Drosophila melanogaster: one gene and its partner. The protein of the gene in region 1 purifies or fractionates together with the protein of each later gene. This does not show direct contact. Each region holds a gene or a part of one and is shown in the gene's direction. Other genes may lie near its edges.

The links.
Region 2: the proteins of Mps1 (region 1) and Mad1 purify together in Drosophila melanogaster (affinity purification with western blotting; 2 studies listed by BioGRID, with this or other methods). This does not show direct contact.

The regions. Positions count from the first base shown.
Region 1 is NT_033777.3:17,669,695-17,673,449, forward strand, and holds the start of Mps1 (monopolar spindle 1), read left to right. Parts: upstream 1-1,576; 5' UTR 1,577-1,676; coding exon 1,677-1,873; intron 1,874-2,155; coding exon 2,156-3,163; intron 3,164-3,226; coding exon 3,227-3,755. Other genes in the region: CG7523 (uncharacterized protein), read right to left, coding at 372-648, 711-843, 961-1,103.
Region 2 is NT_033778.4:9,289,540-9,293,294, reverse strand, and holds the start of Mad1 (mitotic arrest-deficient 1), read left to right. Parts: upstream 1-1,729; 5' UTR 1,730-1,837; coding exon 1,838-1,958; intron 1,959-2,014; coding exon 2,015-3,069; intron 3,070-3,122; coding exon 3,123-3,755.

The DNA.
Region 1 (3,755 bases):
ATCAAAAATCTTTCGCTTTGGAACCATAAGAAAGAACGAACTTAATTAGTGGCTGTACTGAATCACTTCAATTTTAAATACCTGGATTATTTAAGCGGCTCTGACTCATTTTTTGCGTATTACAATTGCTTGCAAGTCACTTAATCAGTTTAAAAAAAATACCTAGCCATCCCGACTACTATATTATGTCATTATATAAACTATTTGAATAAAATGTTGCCCATCGTCATTTCAATATATATACACACAGATATATTAAAAAAATGATGATAGCTCGATCTGTCATAAAATAAAATAAAAATAAAAGTCATACCATGACACTAAGTAGATTCCCTCACTATCGCTGACTAGATACTATGTTACTTCATTACCAATATATAAGCTGTGGGAAACGGCCAGCACCAGATTCTCGGCCACGGTGAAGGCGGTCACATAGCTGACCGGCGACAGCCACCCGGCGGCGCAATGTTCCCAAAAGTTCTCCGCATAGAAGTGGTGGATTAGGGCCTGGACAGCAAGCAGCATGGAGTTCCACAGGGATACCAGCTGAAGGGGAATCCCCTTCTGCATGTTAGTCTCGCGGTGAAAGTCGTGATAGCCCTGCATGCGTAGATTGTCGTGTTGCTTCTTTACGAAGTGATCGAAGAGCTGTAAAAACCGTTGACATTGAGGCAGGTCGGGATTGACAGACTGCTGATTGGTATATTTACATATGTGATGACCCAGAAGGTGGCCCGTAGGTAGAGCATTATAAAGTATGCATCGCAGCGCCGATCGGTTGGAAACGAGGCTGCAAGTACGATCCCCACAATGGAGATTGCAGTGGAGATAACCAGATGAAGGCTACGGGTGGACAGAGAATGGATTAAATTATGTGCATTATCGGTCGTTTGAAAGCTCCATGGATGATTCACTGCCGCCGGCTGAGGTCTCTCCCCCGTACACCGCATAAAATCTCACCTAAATGCGGGCACTGTATTTAGCTTGTAGCTTCCATTGTCGTTGGAGAAGAGGACGGGGTCCAGGAGCTGATCCGTGTCGTGGATGTGCGCTGGGGACACGCCCGGTTGGACAGCGGCGCCTCCAGTTGCTGGTTGCTCCATTTGCTCTGCTCTAGAATGCGTAGTTTTCGAACTATTGCTGCTTTGTTTATTTGTCGGCAGGAAAACAACACTTATTTTCCTTGGATGTGGCAGCACTGCCAAAATATTGCTTTTTTCAGGGTGGCAGCTCTGTGATGACCATGAAAAACAAGACAACCCTAAAATGTAAACAATAAACTTACTGTTAGAATTTGAATATCTAATTTATTTATTTAAGCCATTCTTACTTTTAAATCATTTTGATGTATTTTATACATCACTCTCCCTCACTCAAAGAGTGTGCTTTTATATTTGCTTGTTGTCAACACTAAATTATAATTTAGGTAGTTTTCAATATTTCTTAATTTAAAATATTAAACATTTATTTAAATCCTCATTTTCGTTTAATTATTTTAAAACTTAGCCTTCGGCTACTTAAGTTTTATTAACTATTAAAGGCTTCATTCAGCGCGCTTTGGATGTTTTAAATTTTGAACTTTGGTCACACTTGAATAAAAAATAAATTTAAACCCCGCATTTGATTTGCAATTGGATATTTAACTATTTGTCGGGCAGAATAAATCGGGTTGCAAGATGACCACGCCTGTGCCCCGCCGCACCAAGGACATGATGGCACTGGGACTGGACTCCGACTCCGAGGACGACTTTAACACGCCATACCGACCACGACAAGCGGCGGCGGGAGAACGAAAACAGCAGCCGGTGGCGTCTTTCCAAGTCCAAACGAGGGGCAAGGAGAACGAACCGCATCCCCTGCCCATAAATATGCTGTAAGAACTGGGACAGCAATGTCCAGTATCGCATGACATCTCCTGTTCTCCATACATAAGTCCTCCTGAGTCTGCAAGGATCTAATTTTCCATGAATTCTTTCAGGAATCCTAGATCTTTTCTTTCCAAATTGGTCTGTCCATCGAAACTAACCTGTATCTTCTAGGCTTAGTATATACCCTAAAAGTTAATCTATATTAACCCACAAGTCGAGGGATTTTTGTTACAAGATCACCTAGAAATGTTCATTACTTCTACATACAACGTTTTTATCGATTCTAGACCTCGCCGAGTGTCCGAGTTGACTATGATGGATTCGGACAGTGACGAGGAGGACATCAAGAGCAATCACAACCTTAACTGCGCCATCCTAAACGATTCCTTTGTGCTGAGCCCATCCCAAGAGTTAACAAACAGCAACAGCAACATAACCACTCGTAGAACACCAAGTGCCGCCCCCCTTAAGCAATCCGATTCGAATCTCTCGTTCCTGGGAAGATTCAACGACATGGGCATCAATTGCAGCAGTCAAGGATCCCCTGTTGCGAATTCGGAAAAACAGGTGGCCAAAAAGACAGCACCCACGCTTCAAGCTGCACCAAGTGCCACCGAAAGGCGCCCACTCCAAGAGACAGAGACGCCACTGCGTAATGAATTACCCTCCACCTCGAAGACGAAGCCGGATGCAGACTTCATTACCCCCCAAGTACGAACAATTGGTTCCACACTGGCGGGAAAAAGTCGGAGTGCGGTGTCCAATGACTTCCGTGCGCAGAAAGTGCTCTTCCAAACACCTATGACCGTGAGTCGTGCTGCTCCAGTGGCCTCCGATAGCATAAGCTTCTCCCTGTGCGACACCATCACAGAAAGCCCGGACATTCCGGAGCCTCCGAAAAAGGCAGAACCACCAAAGAGTCAGCATCCTTCCAAAAAGTCCCTAGATCATGTTTTCCGGGAGTCGGACAAGGATAACGTGCCAGACAAAGTGGATAATGTGGAACCAAAGGAGCTGGTATCGATTCCCGCAGTTGCTGTACCTCCAGAGCAGCCTTCCCACAAGACATCTAATATTTTAAAAATCAAGAATCATGAGTATACGATTGATAAGAAACTGGGCTGTGGCGGCTCCAGCTCTGTTTTTTTGGCACGCCGATCGGATTCCGGAAATGAGTTCGCCCTGAAGGTGGTGGATCTGCAGGCCGATCCACAAGTGGTGCAGGGATATCTAAACGAAACCAAACTTCTGGCAAAGCTACAAGGGAACGTTTGTGTTGTGGCACTTTACGATTAGTAAATATTTCTAAATACTGACTTCTTGTTAACGTCACTGTTTAAGTACTTTTTTTTCCTTAGTCAACTTGTGCGCGAGGAGTCCAAGCTGTACATGGTGATGGAGAAAGGTGACTGCGACTTGAACAAGATCCTGCAGAGCTACACCACCAACCTTCCTCTCTATAGCCTGATGAACATCCTGTACCAAATGCTGCAAGCGGTCAACTACATTCACCAACACGGTGTCATCCATTCGGATCTCAAGCCGGCAAATTTCCTGATGGTCAGCGGCAGACTGAAGTTGATCGATTTTGGCATAGCCAGCAATATCGCTGTGGACTCGACGAGCATCATCAAATTCTCGCAGGCGGGCACCTTTAACTACATTAGTCCGGAGGCGTTGACGGACACCTCCACGGGGAATAGCCCGATGCGCAGAGCCGATCAGCCGAAGATCAAGATCTCGACCAAATCGGACGTGTGGTCGCTGGGCTGCATCCTTTACCTGCTACTCTACCAAAAGACACCGTTCGGCCACATCCGAAACGTCTATGCCAAGATGAGTGCAATCACCACACCGGGCACCAGCATCGAGTATCCTGCCATTCCG
Region 2 (3,755 bases), on another chromosome or scaffold:
GAACAAAATATCTACAAAGACCAAGTCAAAGAAATATTAAAATATATTATAAATTTTACTTTGTTCAAATTGCATGTTATTAAAAAAAATCTATTACCTAGTATTATTTTTGATTATTTTGTTTCTACTGCTTAATTAAAAAATTCATTCCTACAGAGAATAATTATTTGTTACACGCAGCATTTTTATTATTAAGTTGTAGTGTTGGGTTAAACTTCTTTGGAAAAATATGACATAGGGTTAACTGTTTTAATGTTGGGAGAGGCTAACACCGTTGGTTGCAGATGTGAATGATGGGGGATGGTGATGAAGTGAGAACAGCTGATTTTGGCAAAGTAACTTGCGGTACCGTGGTGATCGGGAAAACTAAAACGGTTAAGCCGTAGTTGCCGGCTTTGCTTTGCTTTTAGCACGTTTGCACTTACCTCTCTGGCCATTACGACATGTTATCACCAGCGGCACCCGCTTAGAGGGTCTGCCATTTGCTCAGCGGCAATAACAACAAAAACAACACGGGAGCGCCTCTTAGAGCGAGGGAGTGGGAGAGGCAACAACAAAGCACACGCTTTTCGCGATACGAGAACTCTCGTGCGTCTACTTAAGTATGTGTGTGTGTAGGCGGCAAGCGGTATAGACGGAGAGACAGAGAGAAAGAGTGTGGGAGGAGTGTGTGCGTGTGAGTGTCTCAAAAATTCTCTACTACACGTTTATTTTCAATCTTCTCTTCCCGCACATTTCTCCAACGCGCCGATGCTGTTTCGTTCTTCCTCTTGCTTTTCTATCCTGTCCTTTGGCTTCCTTTCCTTCTTCCTCTCCACACCAATCACTGCGTGGGTATGTGTGTATAGGTGTGTATTGGAATTCGCAAAGGTATTTGATTAGGAAAGCTGGGATTTGTTTAAACAATTAGCATGCATCACTTTTTGCAAATTTGTTACAGTAACTTGGGTCAACCCACGCCCACTTTTATAGGTGCGGCTGTTGGGCAGGATTTGCTTTTTGGCAGTGGTGGTGGTGTACGTGTGCGGGATGCTTCTGTGTGCGTGCGAGAGAGCACATTGGAGTACCGTTATCGCTGGAGCCACATTTTCTTATTTGACATACACTTTTTTGTTGCACACGCACACGCGTTTCGTTGTTTTTTTTTTGTTACTTTAGTAAAATTTATTTTCTATACTCTCTTTCTTGAAAGCTTTCTTTTAACCGTTTTTTGTCCTTATCTCTTGGTATGTACGACACACACGCTTCACATACGTTCTAGTTTTTGGCAGTTGTTCAATTGTTCGAATTAATTCCGATTTCGGAATTTGTTGTTTTAACGATTTATGAGTTTTTTCGGTGCGGAAACAATAACATTTAATTCATTTTAAGCCGAGAAGAAATGCAAATCAATTTTTATTTTCGGCAACACTCGAAGAACTATCGTTATCGATTGCGATTTCTTTTACCTGTAGTATTTCGTGTAACATACTTTTGGGTGGTGCAGAAAAGAGTCACGCTCGAATATACTAAACTGGGCTGCCAACTTAGCTTTTGATTTGTTTTCTTGATTTTATATTAACACACCAAATAAAGAAATTGCTTAAGACAACTGTCCCTTTTAAGATATTATTTCCCAGATTAATATACGTATATTTGATTATTGGTGACAATTTTGGATACAAAAGCCAAAGTTATCGGCCACTTTAATACTAATAAAATATGACCAATATTTGGCATTTCTTGTCTAAATATTTGCAGCCACTCTAAGATTAATATTTTACCAACTTCTTTTAGCAATAAAAAGTAAATATCTTTACTGAAAACGTCAACTAAGGTCTCCCACATACAACTTAAAATGGACGACATACGTAGCAGCATAGATGATATGATGGACCGCTTTAACGACAGCATTACCCATTCGGCACCCAAGAAACTACTTTTCAACCGGCTTTCCGCCTCCTTCGATTTAGGAGTTTGTAAGTTGTAATTTACAGGCGCGAACGTAGAAACTAACAAGTAACTCCTCTACTAGCACCCAATAAGCGACGTCGGGAACGGGAATCACCGGAACGCAGTCTTAACGACACCGCCTCTTCCCTCAATATGCCCGCCAACGATTCCATGGCTTCTTTGCAGAACAGCAAACTACGGACCGAGCTGATCGAAACCAAGGCCATAGTAATTCAGCTGCGTAACGAAATCGAAAAGAAGAGCCGGGAACACAAAGAGGCCATATTGCTGGCTGAGAACAAGAGCACGGCCTTAAAGGATCAGTGCGACATCACCAGCAAGAAGAATTTGGAGCTGCAGGACGATCTTAAGGCGCTTCGTAAGCGAGAGCTGGTCTTGAAGAATGAGGCCAGTCGGGCCACCGCCGAGTTGAACCAACTTAGGCTTAAGTTCGATGAATCCACGCTCAAGTTGCAGAAGGAGAAGTACCTGCAGAAGGAGGATGCCCGCGATGTGCACCTGTGCATCAACAACGAACTGAGCGAATATCGCCGCATAGCCCAGCGGGCCGATCTCGAACTGCAGTCTACGCGCAACGAACTGGAGCGCCTACGTCAACTCAATGAGGAGTTACAGGCCAGGGCTTCCGGATTCGAGCAGCTGCGCGCCAATCACGAGAAGCAAACGCAAAGCTTGAAGGTGGCCAACGATCGCATTCAGGAGCTGGAGTTCGAAATTCAGTCGTATAGCGACTGGAAGGAGGTGGTCAAAACCTCACGAGAGCGCCTGGCCAGTGTTCCAGATTTGCTAGCTGAGGTGGAGCATCTGCGCAGCCACAACAAGCATTTAAACACTCTGATAGGCGATAAATTGCTTCTGGAGGAGCAGGTCTACGACTACAAAACGCGACTGGAGCGGGAGGAAGGTGCTCGGGCGGAAGCAGCTTCCCTGCAGGTGAAACTGCTTCACATGGAGCAAGAACTCAAGGAATGGGTCAAGGTGGCCCAGGATCACTGCTTGGCCAACACTTTGGTCAGCCCAATGGCCCTACGCTCGCGCATTGAGCAACTGCTAAAAGAAGACATCATTCACGTGGCAGAGAAGACATCATCGGCTTCGGATACCAAGCATTTGAATGTAGGTTTTGTCCAATGTGTTCCAAGTCCAATTTATCTGACTCCATTTTATAGACCACAATTCGAGATCTAGAGCATAAGTGCGCCATTTACTTGAAGAACATCGAGGATCTCAATATCGGACTGAAACGCCACAAGAACTTCAAGGAGCGACTGCAGCGCAAACTGATCACCGTGTCTAAGGAGCGCGACTTCTACAAACAACTGGTGGAAAACTTCGACAAGGACACGACCCTGAGCAATGCCAGTGTGGCGGACATGACGCAGGACATGCAGGTGCGGGTCCGAATGGAGGTGCTTGAACGCACCGTAACCGGATACAAGGACATGTGTGCCACGTTGGAACGCGAGATTCAATCCTTGCGCCAGCAGGAGCTTGTGAACGAACCTGCCGGAGAGGGATACGATAGCGTCAAAAAGGAACTGGATACGCTGCGGATGGAAAACGATCGGCTGCGTCGGCGCAAGGAGGAACTGGAGATGGAGATGATGCACCGCTGCTTGCGGGGCGACTTCAACATGAAGGACTTCAAGGTGGTACACTTTAGTGAAAATCCCGCTGCCGAAGCCTATGAGTCCACCAAAAACATGATGGAGAAGCTGCAGGCGGAGATTGAGCGACTCAAGCGGCGCAACAAGAAGTTGGAGGACGATAACGAGCAAAGGCTCAATGAAACCACCAGCACG